4 linked regions of the Schizosaccharomyces pombe genome follow. The protein of the gene in region 3 interacts with the protein of the main gene of each other region in a pairwise test. Each region holds a gene or a part of one and is shown on either strand. Other genes may lie near its edges. The genes, in order: tif222, tea3, ntu1 and spo7.

The links.
Region 1: the proteins of ntu1 (region 3) and tif222 interact in a two-hybrid assay, tested with the Schizosaccharomyces pombe proteins (one large-scale study listed by BioGRID).
Region 2: the proteins of ntu1 (region 3) and tea3 interact in a two-hybrid assay, tested with the Schizosaccharomyces pombe proteins (one large-scale study listed by BioGRID).
Region 4: the proteins of ntu1 (region 3) and spo7 interact in a two-hybrid assay, tested with the Schizosaccharomyces pombe proteins (one large-scale study listed by BioGRID).

What each region holds. Positions count from the first base shown.
Region 1 is NC_003424.3:1,670,247-1,675,677, forward strand, and holds tif222 (translation initiation factor eIF2B beta subunit), read right to left. Parts: upstream 3,431-5,431; 5' UTR 3,410-3,430; coding exon 3,196-3,409; intron 3,144-3,195; coding exon 2,753-3,143; exon of another isoform or gene 2,735-2,752; intron 2,707-2,734; coding exon 2,130-2,706; 3' UTR 1,951-2,129; downstream 1-1,950. Other genes in the region: glutamyl-tRNA amidotransferase beta subunit Gta2, read left to right, coding at 109-264, 331-567, 638-1,825; tit1 (tRNA isopentenyltransferase), read left to right, coding at 3,701-5,005. UniProt on the Schizosaccharomyces pombe protein: Acts as a component of the translation initiation factor 2B (eIF2B) complex, which catalyzes the exchange of GDP for GTP on the eukaryotic initiation factor 2 (eIF2) complex gamma subunit.
Region 2 is NC_003424.3:3,213,221-3,221,054, forward strand, and holds tea3 (cell end marker Tea3), read right to left. Parts: upstream 5,054-7,834; 5' UTR 4,848-5,053; coding exon 1,470-4,847; 3' UTR 1,293-1,469; downstream 1-1,292. Other genes in the region: DNA-binding transcription factor Thi1, read left to right, coding at 1-1,086; cardiolipin-specific phospholipase Cld1, read right to left, coding at 5,732-7,018. UniProt on the Schizosaccharomyces pombe protein: Acts as a cell end marker required for efficient new end take-off (NETO), whereby growth is activated at the cell end to generate bipolarity in extending cells. Also required for proper placement of the septum.
Region 3 is NC_003423.3:4,241,745-4,249,641, reverse strand, and holds ntu1 (regulatory protein ntu1), read right to left. Parts: upstream 5,898-7,897; 5' UTR 5,643-5,897; coding exon 5,553-5,642; exon of another isoform or gene 5,485-5,552; intron 5,283-5,484; coding exon 5,252-5,282; intron 5,145-5,251; coding exon 2,782-5,144; 3' UTR 2,216-2,781; downstream 1-2,215. Other genes in the region: SPOM_SPBC16G5.17 (transcription factor), read right to left, coding at 142-1,824; DNA-binding forkhead transcription factor Fkh2, read left to right, coding at 6,980-7,491, 7,784-7,897.
Region 4 is NC_003424.3:3,244,843-3,253,859, reverse strand, and holds spo7 (ArfGEF Spo7), read right to left. Parts: upstream 6,102-9,017; 5' UTR 5,263-6,101; coding exon 1,306-5,262; 3' UTR 979-1,305; downstream 1-978. Other genes in the region: pcd1 (coenzyme A diphosphatase), read right to left, coding at 1-347; histone H3.3 H4 heterotetramer chaperone Rtt106, read left to right, coding at 6,153-6,234, 6,280-6,903, 6,948-7,372; RNA-binding protein Nop9, read left to right, coding at 8,635-9,017. UniProt on the Schizosaccharomyces pombe protein: Appears to have a role in sporulation.

The sequences.
Region 1 (5,431 bases), on a different chromosome or scaffold from region 3:
ATATTATCGTTATAGCTTTTCGTTATATGTTACTATCGAGGAGCTCGACTACCGCGACGGATACTAGCCAAATACTGATATCCTACACTTCAATGGAAGCTATTTAGAATGTCTTTTGGAAGATGGGCCGCTTCCATTGGATTGGAAATACATTTACAACTTGCAACAGTGAAAAAGCTGTTTTCTCCAGCAAAGGTTAACCCTCTTGCACAGCCTAATACTTGTGTTGCGTATTTCGATGTGTCACTACCAGGCTCTATGCCGGTGAGTTTTTTTAGAATCGAATGCGTTTCAATTATCACAGCTTATTAACTTTTTATTTTTTTATAGATTTTGAATCCTGAAGCGTTAAAGTTTGCAGTGAAAGGAGCATTGGCACTGAATTGTGAGGTAGCGAATGTTTGCAAATTCGACAGAAAGCATTACTTTTATCCAGACTTACCTGCGGGATATCAGATTACGCAGAAAGAAATTCCTATAGGAAGAAATGGATTTATACCATTGTCGGCTGGTTTGGACAATGTTCCAGATACTCAAATCCCCATACAACATATTCAACTAGAACAGGTAAGAAACATTGTCAAAACAACTTTCCATATACTGGATTTGAAAAGTATTTTAACAAACTTATATTTAGGATACTGCAAAATCGACGTCTGCTAAAAATCCATCGCGAATCTTACTGGATTATAATCGAGCAGGAACTCCGTTATTGGAAATCGTCACTAAACCTTGCTTTCATGATGTCAATACTGTTTCTGCATTCTTGTTTAAATTGCAATCCATCGTTCGCTTCGCTGGAATATCTGAGGCGTTGATGGAAAATGGAGGGATGAGATGTGATGTTAATGTCTCAATCGCGCCAGTCATCTCTTCAGAAAATCTAAATGAACTTCATTTTAAAAACAACGGAGTGATATCAGTAGAGAAATCCATATCCCATTTCCCCCAATTAGGTACTCAGTTGGCTCGTGTTGAATTAAAAAATTTGTCAAATGTACGAAATGTAGTAAATTCAATTCGCCATGAAGTGGACCGACAAGTCTCTTTGGCAAATATGGGTGTTTCTTGGCCCTCAGAAACGAGGGGATTCGACGATATCACTGGTAAAACATTTCCTCTTCGTAATAAGACAACCTCCGACGATTATCTATTTCTTCCTGAAACCGATATCCCCCCAATCATACTTTCTCGGAGTTATGTGAATTCTGTCTTAAAATCATTACCTGCTCTGCCTGACGAACTTTTCCAAAAGCTTACAACGGGTTCTCATGCCATTAGTCATAAAGAGGCCCGTACATTATTAAGTGTGAAGGAATACTATCACTACTACAGAAATGCGTACCACCATATCGATTCTATAAGCCATGTAAATCAATCTTTGAAAGAGGATGCTTTACGTACCCTTCCATACTGGATCACTGTGGAACTAGTAGGAAAAGTTCGTGAAATTGACCCTTCCCCTAACATCAATATCGTTCCTCCTTTGCAATTGGCTGACATTGTACTTCTTGTTTCCAAGAAGAAACTTACAGCTGCATCTGCTAAACTCTTCCTTCGTTCATTGATAAAATCACCTTCATCGAAACCTATATCTACTCTCATCCAAGAAAAAAATTTTGGTACCATTGGCGATTCCGAGAAAATAAAAGCTTGTGTAGAAAGTGTTCTTAGTAAACATTCAAAACAATTTGAAGAGTTGAAAAATGGTAAAACTTCCCTTATAAAGTGGTTTGTTGGCCTTACGATGAGAGAGCTTCGAGGACAAGCAAGTCCCAAAGACATTGAGATGGAAGTGCAAAGCAGTTTACGAAGGGAAAAGTAATCAAATTGGTTTGTATATTAGTGGCCCTAGTTTTTTTAATTACTGCATATTTCAAATCATTAGACAATGAAAGGAAACTCGTTAAAATTCATAGTCCATTTACTTTAATTTCAAAGTTTTATTTTGCTGAGTTAATTGCCTGTATTACTTGCAACAGAAACCCACAGTTAAAAAAATTCAATCTAATGTAACCCATGTTATTTATTCCAAAATTTTAATATTTACCTAAACACGTGTAAAGAAATTTGATAAACTTGATTTAATAGGTAATCAATTTTCCAAGAGAAAATAGAATGCAAACTCTTTAAAGAATTGTATCGCTTGCATCATAAGTATCATTCATAATACGATAAAGGTAGGAAGGAGGATAGCCACCCAAATTGGTAATAAACAGATCTACTAGGTCTGGTGGGATGTAATCATAGTAAGGGTTTAAAATTTCAGCGCGGCTTATTAGATCACCTTCATTAAAGGACATAATTTTATCAGGTGAAGACAGTTGGATAATGGATTCTAAGTCATAAGGGTAAACAGGGCTAAGCTTATAAATACCCGAACACACCACTACGGGAGTAGCATGGTGCCTGGCAGCCTGAGCAACTAATTGGGCTCCACTATAGGTTACCAATCCTCCGTTACCCAAGATTGCATGCGTACCAAGTATAACTTTATTCACGCGTGACATGATTGCAAAAATCGTAGCATCAGATATAACAGTTGTATCAATACCAGCCTGAGCTAATCGCTTTGCCATGGCATGAGAACCTTTTTGGTTATTGGGAAATCCTTCTGCAACAATCACTGAAAATTTGCGTTTCTTTGCGGCAAAACGGAGAAAAGCTTCAACAGTTTTTGAGCAACCCTGAGTTAAAATAATTTCACTAAAAAGGTTAGCTAACTGATAAGATGTTTAGCATGACACCATACTTTGAATGCAAATGGTCCATTGATTGAACTTCAATATCAGTATTAATCTTGTCCAACTCATCGATTACATCTTGGATGCCAGATATGATCACAGCGCGCATATCCATGCCACCGGTGACCCTACTGTCACCGACGGTTTTACTATGTGTGGGAGACTCAAGAGTAGGACGACCTAATAAATTAAGCATAGAAGAGTACATCTGAACTGAAACAGGTTCGTGACTTTGAACCAATTTTTCGTTAGAGGGAATGTCTCTTTTTTGAGAAGGGCTAGAAGAGTTCGATGAAGAAACGATTAACTTCTCATTTTCATCAGCAGTCTTTAATAATTCTTGATATTCTTCGCGGATTAAGCGTAAAATTCTTCTAATAATATTTCCACAAGAAAATTCTTCACGGTTTAGCATGTAACACAATAAAAGAATATGATTCAAAATACATACCAGTAGGTTGAGCCTTGACAAGAGTAGATCCAACAGCACGGACTGTATCAATTAATTGATCAACTGTTGACCAGCGAGTTTGAGAAATCACTTGTCTCATTACCAGCGCCGTTTCAACGGCAACTGCAAAGGGGCCTTGTACCTTTCTTGACTTTAAGTCTGCTATCAAGCTACTTACAGCCGGATAGGTATGTTCAACATTAATAGTTGACATTTTCAGGCGATGGGAAACGACAAGTAGTGTTTACATGTTAATAACGAACAAATACGAACGCTGTAAAAATGTAATAACTTGTTTACAGTAATTAAAACATCGTTAAAGCATATACCGAAGTTGACGCCGCAATAAAGGAACGGGGATAGTGAACCAAAACAAAATGTAAGGTAAAATCAGTTGGTAAAGAGCCAGGCTTGCTTGGGAAAATTTGGGAAATGGATTTGTTAGTCTAAGCTTGATTCGGTGTGTAATCTATTGAAGATAAGGTAAAAATCTATATCTTATAAAATGTTAAAGCCCCTTTGCGTTGTCATCGGTACTACAGGAGCTGGTAAGTCGGATTTAGCAGTTCAGCTGGCGAAACGGTTTGGAAGCCAAGTCATTAATGCTGACTCGATGCAAATTTATCGGGGATTTGATACTATAACCAATAAAATTACTGTGGAAGAGCAAGAGAATGTTCATCATCGCTTGATGTCCTTCTTGAACTTTGACAAAGAATACAGTGTTCCCGAGTTTGAACGAGATGCCTCCCGCGTAATTGACGAGATTCACAGTCAAGGAAAGATACCTATTGTGGTTGGAGGGACTCATTATTATTTGCAGTCCCTTTTGTTTGAAGATACTACTTTGTCGGCTATTGATAAATTGACGAACGATTCATCACCTAGTAAGCCACCCCATCCGGACTCTCATATCTTGGATGATGATCCATCTGCTATGCTTTCGTATTTAAAAAAGATAGATCCCGTGATGGCTGAGCAATGGCATCCTCGGGATACTCGTAAAATTCGAAGAAGCCTAGAGATATATTTTCACACCGGTCGACCGCCATCTGAAATTTATTCTGAGCAAAAAATGAAGTCAAGTGGCTCTAAACTTCGATACAAATCTCTAATATTTTGGGCGTTCGCAGATTCTTTAGTCTTAATGCCGCGACTTGATAAACGTGTTGACAAAATGCTAAGCCATGGATTGGTTGATGAAATAAAAAGCATGAAGAGTCTTGCTGAAAGTGAAAAATTTTCTCCTGATTTCACCCGTGGGATTTGGCAATGTATTGGATTTAAAGAATTCATGCCATGGTTTGAAGCGCCTTCGGATATAGTCTTTAATGATTGTTTAGAACGAATGAAGGTTTCTACTAGACAGTATGCAAAATCTCAGAAGAAATGGATCCAAAGTCGATTCCTCCCGATGTGTTTGGCTCAACAAGATTTATCCCCTTCTTCAATTCTATTTTCCACCACAAACACTACGGACTTGAACAATTGGGAAGAGCAAGTTGAAAAGGCTTGTAGAGTATTTCAATATTTTTTTTATAATGGCGATGCCATTGCTCCATCTGCTGATGATCAGCACGCTTTCGAAAAAGCCAGAGATTATCTCTCCATAATGAACGGTCGCCAATCTCAGAAAAAGAAGTTCGTTTGCGAGGAATGTTTAGACAAGCGGGGTGATCCATTCACTGTAATAGGAGAAGATGCGTTCAATGTCCATATTAAAAGTAGGAAGCATAAAACCACGGTGCGACGTAAAAAAGAAAGAGCTGAGCGTCAAATTCGTTTAAAAAACATTGGAATTTTAAAATGAAGTCCATATTGTATTTATTATTATATTTTTGGTCATGTTCATAATATAAGTCATAAAAAGCTATGGAGAATGGTCATTATTGAAGTATTCAAGATGGATGCACAGTGTTTATTTATCCAGATTTAGAGCGTTAACTTGTAAGCTAATAGTGAAATTTATTATTATATACGCATGCTACGAACTAGTCTGAATAATCATGCTTGAAACCTTCAAGAATGGAGAGACGACAGAGGATTCCATAGCAAAGATTTTACTTCTTTAGATTAATACTACAAGGGTAATGCTCGTGAATTTTCAGTTTCTCTGTGACTAAGTTATAAACAATTTAACACTAGAATTAAGCTACGTTTAGGATTGTACATACCAAGATCGATTAGTGAAGCATTACGCAGCATTTTAGTGCCGGTCGACAAATACCATGTTAAA
Region 2 (7,834 bases), on a different chromosome or scaffold from region 3:
AGACGCCCTAGCATACCTTTGGAATGCATTTCTATACCTTACCCTGTTATATTGCCCGATTTAGAAATACCGGGTTCTCAGTCTATCGTCGAAAACATGCGTGCCGTTATTAACTTGGCTAAGTTAACAAATGAGATTTGCGATTCGCTGTACTGGAACCCTTCTCCAAGCTTTGAATCGCAAGTTAATTCTGTCCGTAGGATTTATGCTCGTCTAGAGCTTTGGAAAAGTGATTTACATTCTTCTGTGGTTTTTGATGAATCGGCTGTTCAGCATCCACTCTTCCGGTCAAATGCACATGTTCAAATGATATATGATAATGCGATTATGCTTACTACGAGAGTTATTATGGTAAAGAAATTAAAAGATAAAGATTTAACTGCTGAAAATCGTCGCTACATCCAGCTATGTGTTGAAAGCGCAACAAGGGTCATAAACATAGCACATCTTTTATTAACACATAAGTGTTTGTCCAGCTTATCGTTTTTCGGGCTGCATGTTCCATTTGCAAGCGCACCTATTTTACTCTTGTCTCTTCATTACGAAAACTCTCAGGATATTCAAGCTGTAGTCACAAAATTATGGCAGGTATTGGAATTTCTGAGTTCAAGGTGTGAATTTGCTAGAGAAAGTCTAAACTACCTTAAGTCATTTAACAAACAGTTATCTAGGCGCAATGCCCCAGACATTAATAATCCGATTGCAGATTTCCAAAATAGTTTTCAAAATTGGCAATCCTGGGTGGGAGATATGTCACATGGAGACATGCTTTCTACCTTTAAGCTTACAGGAGAAAGCTCAAATGGTAGTAATAGTACTCCAAACGAAGCATTCCAACCTTTTGACCAAACATCATCTCTCTATAATGTTCCGGGTCTAAACAAAAGTTATGTTAGTAACCAACCCAGTTTGCTCACACCTGAAACTTTTCTACCGGATCCAGTTCTCAATTTGGAAGTTGATAAACAATGGACGGCTCCTACGTTTTTGAGTTGGACGGAACTGCTAGGCCCTACTAATGTCTCTGAGCAGTCTTCGCATACTGCAGAGCAAACTTCAAATTTGACCCTTGAAAAAAATGGATGAATCTTTAATGGTTTTTTGCAGGTCTTTGTTTGTTTTAATTATTTCTACGTAATTCATCATATGCTTTGTTCGCGTGGTTAAGGAATTAGCATTTAATACCAGTTTAGTAATTTGCACTTGAGAGTATCCTCATCAATCTAATACTTTAAATTTTCTCTTACTTTTTAAAAGTTAATTAAATTTCATTACTTTTTAAAATATAAATGAGTCAATGTAAATGCAGTAGAAATAATTGCGTATTTTATTGTTAAATATAGTGGTAATTTACATACGTAGTCAAACGACTTGAGATTAAGTAGAAAAAATCAAACCACTTCAAAAAATTATTAAGAAAATTGTACAAACCAAAAAAGAGATAAAAAATCCTTAGTTGATGAATAGAGTTACATAAATGAATGACTAAGCTGCTGAAATGACTCATCTGAGCAATTGGCATATGTTATGGCTTTTTGATAATCATCCTCCAGTTGCTTAATACGACTGGCATAGTAATTATCATCAATTGCACGCATTTCTTCACCTGAAAATGAGCCCGCGGTATCATTTAGTTTTGAGCGAACATCATAATAATCTTTAGATACCTGAGGGGACAAAGACAAAAATTTTTGCTGACTGTTGATAACATCAGAAAGTCTTTTATGTAAATCATTGTTATCCGGGGCTTTTGTTTCTTCAGATGTCATCAAATTACCAAAATGATTACGATATTTTGTAAACACACCACCAGAAGGTATGTCAGATTCTTTTGAACTATGTGCAGCACTAGCATTATTGAATGAATCCTCTTCGTTAAAGTATGATCTTAAGGGAGAGGAGGAAGCTGAAAAGTCCGTAGGAAGATGAACGTCAGTAGAGTCCTTTCCTGATAACTGTTGATTCATTTTTGAATCAGCCAATGCAATTTGTACCTCAGAGAGCTTACGCTGAGTAATTTTTGCTTGCTCGGTAAGATCATTGACCTGATCAGAAAGTTTACTTTTCTCTGTCATTACAGAGGAATATGAATGCTTTAGATCATAGAGCTTTTGCTGAGAATTTAGTAGCTCTTTAGTGCGACCCTCACAAAGTCTCTGGGACTCACGTAACAACTCGTGAAGCCCTTCTAGCTGAGACTCCAAGTAGGAGATCTTTTGTTTCGACTTCGAAAACTCTTTAAGATTATCTTTATTTTCGTTAATAGAAGATAATAACTTTGATAATCCGCTTTGCATTATAGCTTTCGAGTATTTAGCATCAGACACTGATTGTTCTAAGGCTGACTCCAACTCTAGCGCACGAGATTGCAAATTTTCCAACTCAATCCGAACATTCTCATATTCGTACTGTAAATTTAAGCACTTCTGTTGCAACGTACTTTTCTCATCCCTTTCTCTACGGAGCGAATCTTCAAAAGACAATATGGCAGTATTGGACACATCAAGAGCACTAGCGGATGCTTCAATCACATTTGTCTGCATCTCCACTCGATCATGCATCTCAATTAGCTTCGTTTCCAGCTCATAATTTCCATACTCCAAAGCCTCGCAACGAGAACGATAATCGACTAACTCTTCTGAAATTTGCAATATCTGTGATTGTAGGTTTTCATTTTCTTTTTGTAAAGATAGTATTTTTGATGAATCTTCTTCAAACACACTACGAAGTTTATCATAATCTACACAAAGTTTCTCATTTCGAGATTTTAAGAGTTCAGAAGCGGATTCATTTTGCTTCAATAACTGTTGAAGTTCAGTATTTTTTTGATAATAAGAGGTTGCCTCTTCAAGAGTCCCTTGAACTTCGTACTCTAACTTTCCAACTTTTTCTATTAAAGATCCAACAGTTTCGTCCGTTGTCTTTTTCTGGATCAGTGAACGTGAATAATTTGCATTTTCCACGGCAGCATCTCTCTGAGCAGCCAATTTTGCGTTTTCAGATGCTAGGCTAACGATTTGCTTTTTAAACTTTTGTTCATTAGATTCAAGCATTTGCTCAATCACCTTCAGTATTTCCAAATAACTGAGCTGCTCTTTTTTCTCAAGCCTCAATTTTTCATCAACGTGTTGAAACAGGTTAGGAGGTTTGAGAGTATAGCCTTGTTGCATACAATATAACAGTTGCTCCTCAAGCCAAGCTACACGATCATCAGAATTAGAAAACTTAAAATCTGATTGGAGTTTAAGCAGAGAATTACTTTCACTTTCGTTGATTGGAGATGAAGATTCGGAAGACCTAGAAATAGTATCGTTTCCATTAGGTAAAGGAAGAGACGCAATAGGTTTCTCAATTTCGTAAGCAAAGGGGTCAGCTTGCCCAAACTCGTGAAGAGAGAAATCTGCTGAATGATTCATTCCAGAGGTTTTACTAAGGTTTCTCAAAGAATGTAATCCTTGTTCATCCAAGCTAGCATAGTGCCGATGCCTAGCTGATCTTACGGCTTTTTGATTTTGCTCCAAAAAATTGTTAAATTGACTAGACGAGGTGGATGTCACAGAATTCTTTTTGGAATGATTAGGACGGTCGTTTAGGTAACCAAGAGAAACCGTGTGGTTTGAAGCATTTGAAGGTTTCATGCTAATATGCTGAAGAACAGGAATATCAGAAAATTTATCCTTATCCCAATACAAATTTTTGGGATCTGCTTCATAACATAACAGTTGCTTAGGAGCGTCAAGTGCATTAAGATATAATAGTAAAATATGATTGTTTTTTGAAACAATTTTGTATGAAGATGAATCAGAAAGCAAAATAGGGATCGGATTTGAGACTAAGGACCACCGCTGTTGACTATAATTAAAAGCCCAAAGCTCGTTGAGTATCAACCCTTTATTATCACGACCACCATAAATGTAAACCGTGTCATCTATTGTAGTAGCTTGATGACCTTCCCGCGGACCTGGAAATCTTCCTATAGAACGAACCTCGGTCCATGAAAGTGTTTCTAAATCAAAAAGCCAAAGATCACTTAATGGACCAGTATCATTATGCCCTCCATGTACAAATATTTTTCCTTGGACAAGAGTAACTGAGTGATTTGAACGAGGTGGAGGGGATGAGCTATGCAAAAACGGTGTTTCCCATGACCAATCAGTCTCATCAAATTCCATATTAGCCTTTTCAACATTATTTGCATTTGCCTTTTGCTTGAGTTCTGATTGCGTCCTCCGATCAACCCCTTTGGTATCAAACAAATGTATATCATTCAAATATTTTCCTTGACATTCACCCCCAAATATCCATAATTTAGAGTCAACTAACAACATAGAATGTCCAGTGCGAGGCGATGGTAAGGGGGACTGTGTTGAAACCAAATTCCATTGATTACTCTTGAAATTGTATGCGTACAATGAATTATCGCCAACTTCAAATGTGGAATCTGTTTCTGAGTCGCATCCTCCGAAAAGATAAATAGTGTCAGCAGAACAAACGATAGAATGACCAACTCGAGCAGGAGAATCATTGTCTTCCCCTCTATTGTGAGAATAAACCGTGCATGAATCCAGGTCCAACTTAAACAAAGAGTTTGAAATACCAGATTTTTCTCGTCCTCCATGTAAGTACATGAATTTTTCATTCGCAGCATCTAGACAAGAAGCCGGTTTTACAGCTTCCCATTTAAAACTTTGGTTCGTAGATGTCCTTTTATCATTTTCTTTGACTTTGCGAACAACCCATGCACGTATATTTTGCTGATCAATGCTACCGGATTCCACTACATCAAGCTGTTCAGCAGACACATCCTGAGAGTTATCCGATTGACGGCTTAAAACCTTTTGAACCATGTATTGCGATCTTTACCTTGCAAAATCGCTTACTGGTTTTGCAGTTGCAGATGGTAATCAAAGCGAAAGTTTAATCCAAGGAGTTTTTTAAAAGGTTCGGTTTTTACGCTTAAAAAAGAAATAAAATAGAAAAAATATATATTTTAGTTTTAAAAAAGAATTAAAAAGTAAAATTTTCGAAATAATATGAAAAGAGCATAACTTGTGGAGGGTAATGGAAACACACAGTCCATCAGGAAACGGCAACTTAGAGTAGAGAAGTCTTAGAACAACGAATACAATTGCAATACCCTACAATAAATTTTTGTAATACTGTATGATGTTTATAATTTATATCTTCATTAAACATAAAGAAGGGAGAGTAGATACAAGTTTAAGCGCAATAGTATACATTACCGTTGAATGCTCTGTTTGAATTGAAATTTAGAAGTACGAAATATGCTTCACGTTTGAAAAGCTTAGAGCAAGAAAAATGTATTTTTCCAATTACTCTATAGGATAGAATTTAAAATAGACAACCACAAAAACTGTTATTTACTTTATAAGCTAATTGTAGTAAATGGCCTACAAATATTACAAAATTTGATTTATAAGGCACATTTTAAAAATAAAACATTTGAAAACACATGCTGGACAAGTAATCGGACAAAAAAATAAAATTGCGATAAATGAAGCAAATGAGCGTCAATGCAATAAAAATCGATTCAAAATGGACCGATAAAAAGTTAGGTAAAAAAAAGTCGTTCAATTGGAATCCAAAGAATAATGTGTAGTATAAATTAATGAATGAGGTCTATAACAGCATCACATGGGATAGTTTGCAGGACAAGAAAGAATAAATAAAAATAATGAAGCACTAAGCGAAGGGCATAAAAAATAAAAATTTACTCTGAAATCGAAGAAAAAGAACGTAAACTCATTCGTATCTCCTTTAGTACAATCTCATTAAAATCTTCAGGGTTATCAAGATAGCAATGGTGACCAGCATTTGAAATTATGTGGTGCTCCGCCTCAATATTCATCTCCTTCAATCTGTTTGTCGCTTCTAAACCAGCAACATCATCCATCCAATCTTTATCTCCATACATGAATATAGTTCGACACTTCAACATGCGCAAGCGATTCATAATACATCGTCTAGCGAAAGCTCCGGGAGCGAGCAAATTGCCAAGTGCATACTCGCTGGAACCCTTGAGACGAAATATTGAGTAGCAGTAATTATGTAATGCCCTAAACGTTTCCGGGGGAAGCGTTGAAAACCTTCTGCTAGACCAAAAACTCATTAGTTTAGGACCTAAAGGCCCGCTTAAACGAAGTAGAGAAAATGGTGTAACATTTTGCTCCCATAAGAAGGTGATAAATCTTGGAAGAGGATTCTTTGGCTTGCTTGGCCGGGAAGGCTCTAAACCTGTAGTTTCCTCTTGGGTTTGCAGAACCTCATTAGTAACATTACTTAAAGGAGGTTCATCCATAACAGCATGCACAGCAGAGGAAGCAACGGAATTGTAAACTTCCGCATCATCGTTGCTTGCAAAAGGGTTTTCAGGAATGGCAACTGGACTAACTAGTAAGAGTTTCTCAACACGTTCCGGATATTGCATGGCGTAGACAGCAGACAAATAACCTCCCATACTATGGCCCACAAGGATCATTTTCTCGATACCATGACCGATTCTCCATGTTTCTAATGACTCAGTGAAAAACCTCTCTGTTTCTTCGACCTTCTCTGAAGCGGTTTGCCCCTTGATATCGAAAGGCGGTCTTGACGAGTTTCCCATGCCTAGCCAATCAACAAAATAAGAATTAAAATCCTTTGTCACACCCTTAGTCAAACCATCCATGTTCCGAAAGTAAAAACCAAGACCAGCTCCATACCCATGCATGTAAACAATGCTTCGCTTGTTCGCTTTTCCTGTTGCTTTATCACTAACACAAACCTCATGTACCAATCCATCATTATCGTAGATTTTGGAATCTACAACTTCAACTAACCTTTCTGGGTCCTTTTCATTTTCCCGAATAAAATCGACAGTGTGCAGGACTTCACGCTCACATTGTTTCGCATATTCTTCAGAGCATGCTTGACGCCATTGCCTCCAGGACATGCCAAACGTTTGCGTATAAGAATTAGCTGCTTCCTCACTTCTCACCGCGACTTTCACTTGGCTCATAGTAACGGTGCAAACGCTGAATTCAACACAAAATGGTCAATGAAGGAGTCAACCCCGCGATAATGACAATACAAACAAATTACTGTTTATGAACTATTTAAAACAAAATAATTCCGATATTTAAATAAAATTCCGGATATTGGCTCGGCAATTGGAATTCAAAGTGTTGTGCTGTGGGTAAGTTTATGTAAGCAAGATACGAAGGTTTTGATCTGACAAAGCAATGGCATTGTAACAAGCAGCGGAAAAGCAGCACATTCTCTGACTTTTTTTCGTTAATCTTCGTAACATTTTGGCTGAATTAAAAAAAGGCGAACAAATGATGAAGCAAGTTTTCATGAAAATTTCATAGAAAGACAATTGAGGTTTTAGTTCAATACTTAATACAGCAATTGTTCAAATATGATAAAGTCCCTTTATGCAATAAATACTTCAGTGCAGCAGAATATTAAAATTTGTTTCCGGCATTGTTATTGACAACACTATTGACATTGGTCATTGTTATGAACATCTAATAATTATTATTTTTAATTCATATAAATATAATAAGTAACGTATCAAGTATAGCACCATTCATCTAATTACTTAGCAAATTACATAAAATAATACATTCCTATGCACAAAGTTAACATTTATTTTTCATTAAATTTCCTAGATTTCTATCCAGCAACTTAATAGCTTGGAAATGACATGCCAGAAATCGTAATTGTCGAAGGAATAAAAAGGATAGCTAAGAAAAATCCCTATAAAGGATAATCATCTTTTCGGAATTCTATGACATATGTACTTAAGAAAGGTATCATTTGAATCATGGCA
Region 3 (7,897 bases):
ATATTTGATGTAATTTCCTACAAATTAATAATTTGTAAAATGGCAGATCATCGAAATCAAATAAACGTAGCCGCAAGGCATTGATCCTTTAGAGAAAAACAAGCATAGCTGTACATCCACACTATTAGAAGATTATATAATTTATAAGTTTGGTAATGGAAAATTAAAATTAAAATCAAATATGTCGGTAAAAACCTGAAAAAGGTTTTGGTCGTCCAAATCTCCATGGTCTTCTGAGAGCTCTGGTTCTACCGAATTGATTGTCGTGTATATATTCAGAACGTAATGAATCCTTTCCCATACAATTCCCGGATATTTCTTTTCCTCAAGGGTAGCCTGTACTGATGCAGTTACATTCCAAAAATCCTTTGGGACATCGTAACCCCTTTCGGAACAAACATGTATTATAAGAAACGTATGTGTAACTAAAATTAACATTGCTTTCAGCCAACCGTATTTTTCGAAACAATCCATTGAATTGCTAATTAATCGTGACAACTGTATCGATGTTTGGCCAAGCTTTTGAACAATATCTGGATAATTGGGTACTAAAGTACGGCTCACAGTAATAAAACCTTGATAAAGATTTTTACGTACTGTCCAAAATACGGTTTTGAGAAATAAATAGCGAAAATGAATATCTGATCCATCGATATTAGAAAACTTCGACTCTATTTCCATTAAAACCAGCGATAGTTGACTTTCATAAAACTGAATAGAGTTAACGAATTCGTTTACAGTCGAAGTATGAATAGCTTTATATATTTCCAAACCACAAGTTAACAATTGCCCGAGTAGTGAGTGAAACTCATAACTAATAACATCTGAACCCATTTTTCGCTGAGAGAGAAGTTTGCCGTAAATATCGTGCTGAACCCAAGGCTGGCAAGATCGTAAAACACATTCCAAAGCATCTATCTCACAAATCGAAAGCCAAACCTCCATATTTGCTTCATACTCGGTATCAGTATTTTGAAAGATTGGATTAACAAAACATGCGTAATGAATTGCATAACATAGATCAGTGTTCATACTTCGAAACTGGTTTCGCATGCAAAGTTGCGCCCTTATAGCATGCAGTCGAATTCTGTCAATATTTCTCCATAGTCGAAATATTACCTCCTCATTTAAAAAGTCATCAATTTTTGAATTTAATGCATCCGATAGTTCAATGGCGCTATGATTAACAGCCGAAAAGTATCTTTCAATATTTGAAGGAAAGGATTCTAACGAAAGTGCTACCGCAATTGCTGTAACTATTAAAATAATAGAAGTCGCGAAAACATGGTTAGAATTTTTCAGATCAGATAACAATTTATCAGCTTGCTCAAAATCTAAAATATAATTTGTTACATTAAAAGTATTAGCATAAACTTTTAAAAGGCTTTCGCATACATCCCAAGGAGGGATAGTTTCTAAAATACATTCTAATCGTTTTTTCAATTTAGGATCCGTTTCTAAAGCTTCTCTTAAACGTGATTCTGGATCTCTCTGAACAATACCTTGAAATTCAGCCGAAGATTTCAAAATTGTTTTCCAGTCTACGAATCCAAACTTCTGGGTTTTAGGGAGGTTGTTTTCTTCCAAACGCGTCCGAGTCTCTTGATGAGCAGAACTATCTGTTTCTCTAGTAATTGGTCGGCTTAAAGGTTCTTCAAGAAGTTGGACTGCTTGCTCGTTTACTCCATATGTACATGATTCTTCACTCTCTTTACATCGAGAACAAGGATATTGGCGGTCACATTTGACTTTTCGGCGCCTGCATCTCAGACAAGATCTAGCTCGAATATTTTTGTGGGCCCTATTTTTAGATTTCCCAACCATAATTTACCTAATTACGGTATTTCTTCTGTAGTAGAAAGTTGGATATTTCTATAAAATACAATTCACCATAAAAAATTATACGCACAAACTAAAGGTTTCATTCAGTATTAACCTGATAACCATCGAACTTTTAAGCTGGGATTATGCTTCAATTGAATCGATGAGACTACTAATATTTTACTGCAAACATTTTTATGAATGCAAAGGCGGTGTCAACGTTGTGTGGTGGTAAATATTGAGTGTGCAGGCTTAATTATTTAAATTCTTCAACGTCTAAAATACAGTGTAAGCATCAGATCTCGATACCATTTTTTTCGCAGAGCTTTTATTTAGAAGATTTTTATAGGGATCATTTTTTTAGCCTAGATGCCAAAGGTACTCAACAATACGTTCCACAGTTGGGTTTGCAGTTGCTTACAAAATAAACAGCTAATTGTCATTTTAGTAATTATACATTCCATCGTGAAAGAAAATGCACACTATTAAAGTTTTTAGTTCATCAATTGCTTTGCAGTAATCCATTATAATGTAGAACTTCAACGTAACTTTACTCCAAAATTTTTAGCTTTTAACACTACTTGGTTATTCATTGCTGATAATAATGCGCGTAAATATCACTAGCTAATGGACATGAAGCAGTAGGCTAACTCTCTAAGCTTGATCAAAAGATCAAAAAGCAAATCTATCACAAACATCTAGGAAGACAGATAATCTAGATATTCAATCGTTCTATTATTCAATAAACATAAAAAGCTAATCATCAACCAAACAAAATATCACTTAATTAAAAGGAACAAAAAATAAGTTTTTTAAAAATGTCAATGTTTTTTCTCATGAGCAAACCCTAAAAGTTGGAGCTAGAACCCTTATTAAAGATAAAAAGTGAAGCAAGAATTATTGCAGAAAAAAAAATTTTGAAAACAAAAGTGAGTTTCTATGCTTAACAACATTGATCGCTCACTCGGTTCTTTTAGAGTTTGAGGAACTTGGATGGTCAGGAGAATTATTAGAACCATCTCGGACAGTAGGATAAGCAACTTGGTTAGTCATGGAAGGTGGTTGAATGAAGGGATACGGCATGCCAGATTTTGCAGCTCCAGGTGCCATCATAACCCCTGAAGTAGGCAGTGGTAGCATTTGTTCTGACAAGGGAAAAGGCGGGTGCTGGTAAGGATACTGTGAATATGCTTGGAAAGCCTGAGGCATATTCGAAGTTGGACTCATGTATGGAGGGTATGAAGTATTATACGGGAAAGGTACTGGAGAATAGGTGTTCGGAACATAAAAACCATTCGCTGTTGGCATTGAAGAACCATAATTAATCATAACCCTATCATGAGGGTATACATTACCATCAGAATAGGAAGGATATCCGTTTTGTCTAGGATAAGATTGATCCTGTGTACGCCCACCATACGTAGGCATAGGGAAATTTGTTGGTGCATTTTGAAACTGGGCAGGATTATAGTAACCTGGGTAAGGAGCATCTGAATAAAATATTTGTGCTTGCGGAAACTCTCTAGGTATATTACTAGTTCTCTGCGAAAAGTTGTTTGGTAGTTGTCCTGTAACATCCGGGGTCGCATCCAAATTTTCAGTACCAGATGAGTTCATATCATACGCAATTAGCAAGTTCTTGATTGCCTCCATTATTGTACTATAGTAAGTGGATTCGCGGTATATCATTTGTAGACAATGAAATCCTAATCTTGCCTTAGTTATGAAATTATTAGATTTATTGGCATCGTCCTTCGTCAAAGTAGCACAATATGTCAAGGTCATTAACGCGTAGTATCCAGAATACAAATTGAAAAACAGTTTGGGAGTATTTGGAGATTTGGCCAATTCCTGTAACAAAAAAACAACACGCTCCGCAGATTGTGCACACTTTAAAGCAAAATTTGCAGGTTTCATTGGCGACCCATTCTGATTATCAATTGGTGTACTAATACTGTGAATAAAAGGGCGATAGAAAATGAGTTCTATTTGCCTGAATTTCAATTCCAGTATTATTGCTTGGATCCATTTGGGTGAAAATTTTGGAACTTCGCTCATTTTTAAATAAGAAGGTAAGTTTTTCCACCAATATGTAAGTTTTTCTTCATGATCACGAACAGCTGGTAATGAAACTTTACAGTGTGAGTCAGAGGGCGATTTGACTGGATACACTTTCCTTACAAAATGACTTAAAATACGAGAAAGCGTTATGTGTTGTATAAAAACTTCCAAGCTAGTGCATTCTGATGCTATTAATCGTGGAGGAACCTGGTCATTTTCTAATGTGAAATCAAAAGAATTGGGTAACGATTGATCAATATCAACGTCCTCAATACTGAGAGGAAGACCAACAATTGTACTGGTGTAACAAGCCAAAACGTACACAGAATAAAATACCCGTTTGGATAACCGAGATTCATGAGATGTGAGAACGTCTGAAAAATCCTTGTGCAATCCCAATTCGTGGCAACACAATAACGCATTATTCGTGAACGTATAAGCTTGAGAAAGTCGGGAACTGAACAAAGCAAAAAGCGCAACAGACAATAAAATTTGCACAACTTCAATCGTATAACTATCTTCCCATGAAAATGAAGACCGAATGTAATAGTAATACTCGTAAGCTTCATGATAAGGATAGTTAGCACTAGGAGATTCATCGGGCATATAGGTGTAACCCAAGCACAATGTAGCGACAAGTAAAAAATGAAAATTGTTATCAGTCTTGCCAGTTTTGTAATACATATGCATCTTCTCAAAGAAAGATGCAGGATGATGAATATGTACCAAAAAATGGTCATTCATAAAAAATTGGCTAACAATAGAAAGAGCCTCCTCATATGGAGGTAGCTGAATTTTGAGAGGCGGTTTTTTATGTTCATCTTCGGCAGGGGTGGGTGGAAGATACGGAAAAGATAAAGGATCTGGCTGAGAAGAAGATGAATTAGATTCTTGGACAGGATTGGGAACCGTAGAATTCCTCGCAATGTTTTGATGTATATTTTTCATAAAGACAAAGCCAGAGGAACTTCCACGAAAGTCGGCTTTCCCATCATCTTTTAAACTCAATTGTCCATACCGGTCGAATAAGCTTTCAAACTCGTCCTGTGACGAGCTTCTTTTAGAGGAATCAGAGCGTTTCCAAGGAGATTGGTTCACAGGAGAATCTTTGTCATTTGGAGGAGCCAGAAATGATGGCAACTTTAAATTTGGATCGCTTTCTTCAGCCAGTCCCCTCAGATATTTCAATCGAAGCTCCAAAAATTCTATATACTTCTCAGGAGCATGCCGTAATCGCTTAAAAGGTTGACCATAAGTACATTCTTCAACAAAGTTAGAAAACTCCATCCAATTATAATAGAGGCTTGAAATAAATTTTAAAGCGACTAAACTTGAAGAAAATAATCTCATCTAAATTGTAGGCACTTACCATAGTTATATGCTATGCAATTCGAGCAAGGCTGAAAAAGTTAGTAAAGAACAGAAATTTATATTTATTTCTAATCGCTCATCCAAATTAATGCAAATAAGATAGAAAAAGAGCAATAAAAGCCAAAAAAATAATAAATTAACGACAAAGGTTATCCGCATGCTCTCTAGCTGAACTGAAATCAATCAAGCTACAATCAACTTCAGAGAAAGCGGTAACTGGGTGAAGTGAGTTCTCAGTTCCCAACTCAAATAATAAAATTATGCAAAACATAAATAGAGCAAAGAAATTGACATCTTACCCTTCTCTGATCACATTTGATCTTTCTCCTGTGACATTCATCACATGCTCTAGAAACACGCTGTCTACGAGATACATCGCCGGAAGACATTCAGCAGCCTATCAATAAACTATGTTGAAGCCTGCTAACTTCAAACTTGAGGGAGAACAGGTCTTTTAATTTGTATTTATCGAATCGTTGTTACCGGTTTTTACAACCGAAAGTTAACGCAAGTGAGCAAAAATGCAGTTTATCATTCAAAATTTAACGCTTTGAAACTAAAGGAATTTGGTGCTTTAGATAGGTAAATAAATAAATAAATGGTGATCGCTGCGAAGCGATTATGGATGATATACGCGACAGGTTAAACCTACGAGAGTGTGTGCCAGCGATCGTATACATCCGCTAAATAGTAATTACTCGTTACTTCACGTTAGCATACATGTGTAGGTGAAGCAATGAGATTATACCATGCTAAATGTTTTTGTTGCGGTATGTTAAATATCGTTATAAGCCTGACATCTTCACGTGTGAGTTCTCCAATGAGTCCTGAAGCTGGAACCATCAAGCCGTTTATTGACTATTTTCAATATTACTGAAGAAAAAAGTATGGGAAATAAAGATCATTCAAGATCAAGTTTGTCTGTTCATGTAAGCCACATATTATTTATTATAATATCAAAGTCTCTCCGTGCCTGAGTTATGTTCGGTAACTGTATATTGCATAATACTTTCTGTTGTGTACCACACATTATAGTGCGCTACGAACTCACCAAATAATATTACGTATCCTACAGAGACTTCGCGAATCGCGTAGTTAGTAAAAATATGGAAAATAACGTGAGTAAACAGTTGAGCGTTAATATTGCAGCCACACAAAATCGGTTGATTGAAAGCGAAATAATGATTCGGAATTTCCATAAAACACAATTAATACTCTTAGTGTATTCATGTAATAGCTTGTACAGTTCTCAAAATAAATCTTCAGTAGACACGTTTTAAATAATAGGGTAATTACTAGGATATGCACGCGACCGTTAGACGCCATTACATGTGCAAAAAACACTGAGTGCTGAAAAGCTAAAATTATTACAAGTCTTGCAGAGTTATGATTGTTTGAGTTTTTTTTTTTTATAAGTTAATCCTACGCCAATATATTAAGAGGATTTTTTTAACTGCTTAGTATTTAAAAAAGTATATCGAAGATCCGGTATCTTGATTGTTTACAAAAATATAAATAGCAACGATAACAAAGACGCATTGTTGACAAAAATAAAAAATGTACAAATATTTAGAAAAATGTATATTTTAATTTCTATGTATCTAAAATGATGGTCAATATTAGTTATACCGTGAAGCGCTGGCAACGGAAGGTAAACGAATGTTGACAACAACAAACGAGTGTAAATAAACACACACCAACAGCACAATTGCTGTAGAAAGGAAAAATGACTGTTCGCAGACTCGAAAGCAAGTCTGAGCATATATCAGATGACGAGGAGAGAAAAGAACAGTTAGATTACAAAAAGCAAATGGATGTAGACACAGATCGTAACATTGTATTGAATGGTCGCCTGGAATCCCAAATTGCGAAGTTGTCCGTTCCACCTCACGAAATGAGAGTGGTCGATGATTATTCGAACAGTAAAAATGCGGAAAGACACTCTGGAGAAATACAAGCTTATGCGAAATTCGCTGGAAGTACATGGACTTATTATGTTAAGAAAATTCGAATTATACTTGGTCGCGAACCAGCAAATCCTTCACCAAAGGGGAAAAATGAAGATTTAGAAGTAATTGATATGAATTTTGGTCCTTCTAAAGTTGTGAGTCGAAAACACGCTGTTGTGGAATATGATTTGGATGACCAAACATGGAATTGCTCAGTTTACGGTCGAAATGGCATTAAAGTAGATGGCAAGTTATTCAAGAATGGGGAAACAGTCAAGCTTACAAGTGGGTATGTTAAAAATCATTTACTAGAATAGTGTTGGTTCGTCGTGATTTGCGACAGGACGGAATATTGATGGTTTCAGCAGCGCATAATTTATGCTTTACTCTTTCATAAGTTCTATGGTTTTCTCGTGTTATTTGTCAATTTTAAACGAATGTTTGGTTATTTTATAAATGCGCGTTAAGGATTTGTCAAATTATCAAGAAAATAATTATTTCCGTCCTAGTTCAAATAAATGCAGGAAATTATGCCAATTATTTTTTTTTATTTCTTTTTCGTCTTACTAATTATCTACTAGATCTATACTCGAAGTAGCGGGTTTACAAATGATGTTCGTACTACCCAATGCAGCTGAGCAAAAGCAAACTGACGAAAGCACTATAAAGGAGGATGCTATAAAGTCTGAAATTTC
Region 4 (9,017 bases), on a different chromosome or scaffold from region 3:
AATCTCGTAGGCTGGTTAGTTGGTTTTAATGGTAAGGTGGGGCGATTTTTGTGTAATAGGTATATTTGATGAGAAAGAGAATCCATGGTCAAATCTCCGTTCTCGTTTACCACGCCATTACTCACCAATTTCTCAAGCGGCGACTGGTGAAGATAGGTTACATGGTGCGATTGACTGCTGAAATAATGCCTTTGGATGTATTTAATAGCTTCAAAACAAACTTGATTGTTTAAAATACTATTTCTTTTTGAAAAAGTATTCTTTAGAGGACTCCAAATAAAGCCTACCAAAGAGTTTTGCCTTGTTAAAAATCGTTGATGACCTTTCCAGCGGAGCTTTAGCTTCATAATTTGGGATTTCTTGTCCAACTCTGCGAATTCCGCTTTTCACCAGGCGTTGGAATGTAGAACTTCTAGCAATCTAAAATTGATTAGTACGTATATCTATTAAGATGAAGTCGTTTTATACCCTTGATGCGACGTAGGTGGAAAGTAACTCTACTATAATTCGTTGAATCATACAAAGTCAATAATAATTTAAAGGTAGAAGAATAATTATGAGTACGTTTTATCAATAGTGATTCTTTAAATATCGGGCAATTGTTAAACGCCTGCACAAAAGACGCGATATGTGCTCAGGTTATGTTAACCGTTAGCGCCCTCCATTGCGACGTGACTTTGCAAAGAAGGATTATGTAGAGTTTTATCTAAGCGAGAAAAAATTAATCAGAAATTAATGCTTAAAACAGTATTATAAATCAACGAAGGTGAAATATAAAAGTACTGCAATTTCTTTCTGTTTCTATAATTGCTTTATTCCTTATTAATTGCATACACCTCTACTCATATTGTTTTATTTCAAAATAGGTGAAACTTGGACTTTAGCATTCTGGTAGCTATAGCATGTATCCAAGTTCTCGCAAGCTGTTTGATTAAGTATCTAAGTAAAGTTACTATTGTAAGTTTAAAGCTAAAATGAGCGGTAACCAACGTAGTTATTCAGTTTCAACGAGCGCGTATTAAGGCATTTGAAATAATCCCATCGAAGCATATATTGCAATAATGAAATATTCTATAACTGGATGTTATCAGAAGTTTAAGCATAAAAAAATAATAAAATGACAAAAGATTTGTCAAATCTAAATAAAATCAAAATACTTTATTTGGAACTCTCGACAACTATTAACCCTCTTCTTCAGAAGCTAAAAAAAAGATATCTAAGTAGCATTCTCTCAATCGGAGGCCTAATGTCTTTTCATCACTCAAGTTTATTTATTCGTTTAACTACTTTGAATGAAATTTAATTTTATAATCCTTTAAAATCATAAGGATATCTTACAGGAGATAAAGTTGGGTAGAAATCATGGGATTTCCGATATTCGTACTCGCATTCCAAAACTCGCTGGTACTCTTTGTACATCATTGATCGTTCATATAGAAACTTCATCTTTCTATTCCAATTATCCATTGCTTTGAGGTAATTTTTAGATCCGGCGGCAAAACATTTCTCCATTTTTTCAGGCAAAGACTGGAAAAGAAGGCAGGTTTCCAGTAAAGAAGGAACACAATCTCGTAAAATATGAACCTTATCACGCAGTGGACGAGGAATGTCTTGTAATCCTTGAATGTCCATTGGACTCCACCGTGTTAATTGAGCCAGGTCACCGACAAAGGTCTTGGTTCCATCAGCAGCAGTATAATAAGCCTTTTTCTCAGCTCTTGTTAAAATGTACCCCCAACCATATTCAGTGTTTGTAATATTTTCTGGTAGAGGAGGGCAAGTAATCATGGCTGCATTAAAATTTAAAGAATGAATCCATTCGTTCATCGCTAATACGCTGGGCGCTTCAAAAAGATAGCACTCATTTCCTGGAATATTTAGATAAAAGACATTATTGCGATTAGAATTAATTGATGGAGGTAAATTGGGAGATGCCAAGCAAGATTGCAAGCCAAATTCTCTATGGATGGGGCTAACATTTGAGCAAGCATTTGGATCTAAATGATCTGACTTATAAAAGATTAGTTTTCCACTATCGACAATACAGTACTTTTTCTTCCAATAACCTGCTACCCATCTATTGTTTTTGCTTAAAACCATTTTCTTATATGAAATCATGCCTCGTCGGTGCCATGGTAACCTGTTATGAGTCTTTTCTTCTTGCATATGATGAGTGTAATTAAACACCGAAAAATGTGGTCTACCATCTATAACTGATGGTTCAGGAAGATCAATCTCCTTTCCTGCGTAAATTCCTCCATTCTCTTCATTCAAAACAAACGAAGATTCCTTAAAAGCATCACTTTCAAGACTCGTGCTGTTTTTGTTTCCAGAACTCTCCTGCTTTAGTAATTTTGAACTTTTCATTAATTCAGATATCAGAGATGATCGATTCCTTTTGGGAGTCAAATCACCTCTTACTTGGTTGTGCAACTGTGCTTGCACGGCATTTGGTACTGCAAATGGAGACTTCAGAAACGTATCATAATATTCTTTTAGCATGCATTCAAGTATGAAACCGATATCGCTTGGTAAATTGCTCCACGTTGAGAAAAGCAATTTGGCAAACGTTGATCGGTTCTTCTTATATTTGAGCCAATGCTTTTTGTCCTCCTTCGACAAAATACAAACTGAATCTGGAGATATGAGAGGACGAAGTTTCTCGAGAGCATATTTCACAAAAGTTTCCATCGGAACGACATAAGAATTGAGCTTTTTAGAATAGGTTGATTTATGTAAATCAATTAAAATCAATACTATTTTAACAATAATGTCTTCATTTAAAAACCCATAATTACTATTTTGCTTAAGCCAACAAGATGCGAAGACTTGCAAAATAGGAGAGTGTATGTAATCATCCGAGCCATAGTAAAGATCACAGCATAATTTTTGAAAGGAAGCGTAAACATTTAAACTTGAAAAGTCATAGTGTGATATGAATTTTACATACACATTTTCATATTCAGATCCCAAACTAGCAAACCAATCTGTAAAATTGTACGACAATAGCTGCTTCTCTAGCAAATTCCGTAAGCAATTGGATAAATTAATGGGGTCCTTAAACTCTGAATTGTGACATACCTCGAACAATTTCAGTTGAGAACGGTCGTGTAAATTCAAAATAGTTAAAAGTGATCGTGGAACTTTAATTCTTGGATTGTTTTTAAATTCCAAAGAATTGGGAGTTGCTATTTCTTCGGAATTGAGATCACTCTTGCTATCACTTATAAGCAAAAACTCTTCTTTAAACTTTGAAGCGCTCAGACCTTCGTTAGCAAACGTTTCATCTTCATAATCTTGTAGGAACGTTTCCTGAATATCCATAGTTTTGACATCTGGATTCACAAAAACTTTTTCGCCAACCTGCTGACTATTTATGCGTGAATTGCGTAAATTGCGCATCTTGCGAATTTCTTCAGCTGCGTTTTCATGGTGAACTGACTGAGACTTAATCTGACTTTGCAATTGTTGAATATAGCTACGTTCATCATGACTAAGATGCTCTCGGTCATCCAATAGTAATTTTGAAATTGAAACTAGACCTTCGGGGGTTTTGGGTGAAGAAAACCGATTTTCACGCAACATTATTTCGTTTGTAATACCAACCTCCGAAAGCACTGAATAATACGCAACCAACGATTGTTTTAAGCAAGAAATCTGCTTTAGTGGTATTCTTTGGAATCTTGAATAAACTAACGCAAATTGGTGTTCCGCGATGTCTAAAGGGTATTTCCTGAGCAAAAGTTTTGCTAATTTGCAAAAATATAGGCGGTCAGAAAGATTTTCAAGTAAATACATTTTGGGATCAGCATTAGCAAGCTCATTTTTAGTGTTAAGTTTCGATACCTGTATACGACTATTGATTTTGTGTTCAGTAGCGTTCAAAGTTCTTGGATGAGGGTTCAACTCTAAATTTTTTTCCATTTTTATGCTCGGGTGTACATTACCATTTCCAGCTAGACACGCTCTCTCAATTTTTGAAATAACTTTCTCTGATGGATTAACTACCTTAGATATGCTGGAATGGGATGTCGGTTCAACATTGTTTATCGATTGTGGCATGTAAATATTTCCTAGTTGTTTGGCTAGTTGTTTAACATGACCCTTGGGAGGAGCCTCAGATGTCGGTGCCTTTGTTGTAGGAGCCTTTGTTGTAGGAGACTCTGCTGCAGCCAATGCTTGTGGTTGTACTGAATTAGAATCTTGGTTCATTAGTAGCGCAGTCTTTTCCCTTATCACTTGCAAAAACTTCTGAGAAGTTGTCAGAACTGAATCACCGACTGACACTTTTGGTGGTACTTCCATTGAACCATTTTTAGCAGCAAATAGGTTTATAGCTTCCTTTATTCTGTTACATTTTCTGGTGGAAGCCCGATAATTAGGACCTAAATTAAAGGGATTCTCTTCTAAAGCATTTGTAGTATGCCCTTTAGATAAATTTGAAACATAGTCCCTTTTTCTATTTCTCTCCCTAGCTAGCTCGATCCTTGCTCTAACATTTTCCCCGGAATACTTCCCCTGAATCCTCCTCTTAGCAGATAAACTAATTTTTTTTGAAGGAAATATTTCCTGAGGAAAATTGGTAACGACTATCGGAGGCGGCGTTCTTTGGCGCTTTTTAGAAGATGGAAGTTCTTCTTCATAATCTTTCAAATCACGTTTTAATGAGTAAGAACCAGAGGAAGCTCGTACGCCGTTGCCGAACATGGATTGAGAAGGATGAGAGTTTACGGGTTCACTAAATATTCGTTTAGGCTGAAGGCTTAAATCAGAAAGTTCACCATTTGTTCGAGGACGCCGGGTTTTAATAAACGATTCTTTGTTGCTTAACTTGCTTTTAACGTTAAACATATGATTGTTTTCAGCCAAGATTTTCTCAGACTCCACAGAATTGGCATTGGAATTGAGAAAAGAGCGACGATGACTTATAAATTCCTGAATCTGCTTCAAGCGTGTCCTTCTCTGAGAAGATTTGTCTTCTCCAGAAATATTTTCCGTTTTGCTTTTAGCGCCTTCCGTATGCAAATTTTCTTGACAAATTATTCCCTTTGATTCCTCAAGTTTGCAAAAATCGGTTGTAACTTTAGACCGCTTCAACTTCGAAAGCAACGCTGAATGCTTTTGGCCGGAAGTATAGGTAGGCTTTGATTCTCTCACAGGACGACAAGTGATGCGACTATCATTGCACGATTCCAACTTTGCAATTTTTTCCGAAACACTTAAGCTTGTTGGGGAAGATCCTTCTGTTATTCTAAAATCCATTCTACCTTTTTCGTGGATAATTATACAATTGATTAAAAGAAATTAATAGTTATGTCGGAAGAACGCTTAAAAAATACAATATGAATATAGGAATTCTTTCAATCGGTTGATCGCGAAAGCAATTAGGATAATTATGTAAGTTTTGTAAGGACAATTATCAAAATTGTTTCCTTAAATATTTATACAAACCGTCAGTTTTGAGGGAGGTTGAGGGTAAAGGAAAAATAGGCAAAACAAATAGCTTATGTCTTAAAACACCTCATTGCATTAGACCTAGCGAACAAACTATTTGTTTACGTTTGTAAATGTCAACACACGTTGATTACATCGGGAACAACATAAACCAATAAAACGAATTTTAGGATCATTTAATAATTTCTTTGACAAAATCGAAACAATAACAACTTTAAGGGAAACCATATCCGATTATAGGAGCAACAATCTGACCTTCCCAATGCTGAAGAAAGCTAATCAGTTCTACAGCTGAAATTTATCTATAGATCGCAAAAAGAATCAAAGGGAAAATCGATATCGTTTCACAAAATGTTCCCAACTTTTTTGGACTTTTCATACGAAAGTAACTGATACGATAATAGAATGAGTTTTTATCTCATTTATGTAAAATGACTACCTTTGTTGAGTAAAATTGAGCAATTATAAATTAAGCATATTCATATTGATCCATAAAATAAAAATTTGTTGCTAACATAAAGTCAACAGCGAACCGAAGTTTGAACGTAACCACTTGGGATAAAATTTTTATTGGATCGAAATCATTTGCATGATAATGGAAATAGTTGCTATTACATTTGTTACTGTTAGCTGAGGTGTGGTGTGCTGTCGAAGCCCTTGTTTAAGACTCAATAAATTCTAGCCGGCAGCCATCTCTAATGGAGTCCAACGTGAACGATGAAATAGAAAAGGCATTTGCCAAAGATTCTGAGTTAGCAAAAGATATAATCAAACAATATGGTAAGGTTTGAGTACATGCTTTTTTCCTTAGTCTAATGAAATTAGGGAAAACAAAAAGTATACAGCCTCTAGTGCATCGAATTTGCAAGTACATCAATACATTGCAAAAGGAAAACGAATCAGGCCAAGTGAAGGAGGCTGGAAGTTTAAAACGAAAGGATCGTGTTCAACATGAGTTAGGTCAATTGGTCTATGGAGTACTTAATCTATCGTTTCAGGCACCTATGCGAAAAAAGCTAGACGTCTACATTTATGAAAATGGAATAGCAGTAACATTACCAGGCGAACCCAATTTAATTGAATTTTGGCTTCCCTGGAATGAAATTCGTTGTGCAATCCATGTCCCATGTCCAAGGAAAGCTAATGTTCAAAACAACTTTGTGATCATCCTTAAAAGTGAATCGTCGGCAGAAAATATTGTTTCAAGTGATAATGTAAAAGAACCTGTCTTTTTTACGGCACCGTATCCTTTGAAAAAGCTCAACCTCGTTGAAGGTTTACGATCCTTCACCCACTGCACGAACTCATGGGATATTTTTCGCGATTACTTTGAGTTTATTGGCACTAGTACTTTGTCTCCTTCTGTCGAAGAATTTGTTTGTCCAAACCCGCAAACGGGGGACAATGGCACGACATATGGGGTTGAAGCAAACTATAAAGCTAAAGATGGTATGCAAAGGATGAATTCTGTGTCAAAATTGCTAATCAAATAGGGCATTTATTTTTTCTGCGTACTGGCATACTATGGGGCTTCCGTAAACCTATACTTTTCATTGAACTAGCTAGCATCCAGCATTTTTCCTATAGTAATGTTTTGCAACGAACATTTACAGTTAATTTTGAAGCTGGTGGTACAATATATTCATTCGATATGGTTGATCAAAGTGTCTTTAGAGCAGTAAATGATTACGCGACAAAGCATGGACTAATGGACTCCAGTCTTGCTGAAGAAAAAGCTGCACCAGTCCCTAAAAATCCATCTGTTTCATATTTGAATGAGGCATCATCTCTTGAAAATGTTGATGATATGGATGATATTGATGTTAAAGAACCTTTATTCTCTGATAACGACGAGGATGTCGAAAACAGCGACAGCGAGGACGGTAGCGAATCTATCGGTTCAGAGGACGAAGAATAGAAAGTTGAATGTACATAAATTTTTTTCTGTTTTATTTATTACCAGTTTGTTTTAATTTAAGGATTTAAATAAATTTAAAGTCTTCTAGCAAAAGGTTATCTGTGAGCTATCCAAATTTGTTTTAGACTCAAGTTATACACAAAGTTGTCGCAGGATACATTTTTTGTTGATAGTTTAAAAAGTGTGGATCTGGACTTTGTGTGCTAATCAATAGATTTACGCTCCCACTTGTTTGAGTTTTCTCAAAAATTACCCGACCAACATGTAAATATTTTCTATAATACTAATTTATGAAAATTCCTAATTACCTTATTCGATCTGCCGCTCTTAAAAAAGGTATATAATGTAAATAGCGGTTATTTAAAGTTCCTGATGTTCATTTTAACAGAAGGGTAGCTGAGTTTAAGCAAGAATTACCTGAACTGCCCATAATTTAATTCACAATTAGCATAAATCTTTAAAAACTCTTTCACGAGATTTTTTAATTATTTTTTTCAAAAAAAAAGACGACTATAAGTAACTAATTGTTTAATTTTTTACATTAGTTTTTTTCTTTGTCAATAAATTACTAAAATCTTTTTCTGAATGTAAGAAATTAAATAATTTAACAATATATCAACTCATCGACTGTTATTGAAGGATCTTCTTCTTAAAAAGAAAGAAAATTAATTTAAGACAATAGAAATGTTTTTGATTGATATTAATGATTAGCTCTTCTAAAATGCTGTTGCAATTTATCTAATCATTATTTATTTACATTTTAGTTAAAAAGCTATGTTCATAACGTACGGTAAAAAAAATAGGTGACACTTACGCAGTTCAGTGTCTTTTTTAACGATACGTAAAACCCGGTGATAATTCTTGTGACCTATTATATTATAATAAGTAGGTTAATAAGCGCTGACCAATGTAGGTATTATATATATGGGTCAAACTGTTACCTGTCACTAAATAGTGCTTATTACTGTACCTCGTTTCTCAGTTAAGTTGTAACTCTATTTATAATCTTACTGATAATTTTTCTAGAAAAATATCCTAGTAAATAAGAGGATAATGTCCGCAATGATCAATACGCGGATCTAACTGGTATTCTAATATATGACATATAGTGATGAATACCCTAATGTAATATAGCGTAGTGTAGTATTGCTTGCACAATAAAACTTTATACCCCCATGCGTTATTAAAATTAAAGAGGCATAACAGAAATTATTTCCAACAAATTTTCGAATCCTATAATGCTAATTCAATCCTAGAGCAAAATGCCAAAAAAAAGAAAAACGCGTGGTAAAAAGCACTCTGCCAAACAAAAGGAGGAAGAAGTTAATTCAGTTGTTTCTCCCGGTATTGCAAAAAACGATGAAGGCGCTGGAAATGATGAAGGTGCATATCAGGTAAACCGTTACACGAATGAACCAGTGCAACCGTTTTTTGGTGCTTTGGACCCCGAAGAAGAAAAATACTTCCAACAAGCTGAACAGGCTTTTGCCAATCATTTTACAAGAGAAAACGAAGATACCAGGTTTTTTGTCGACAGCATTTATCGTGAGGTGCAAGGCAAAGAGCTAATTGTCTGCAACAATGTGTTCGGATCGAAGGTTCTTGAAAAGCTTTTCCCTTTATCAACGAGTAGACAAATCAAATC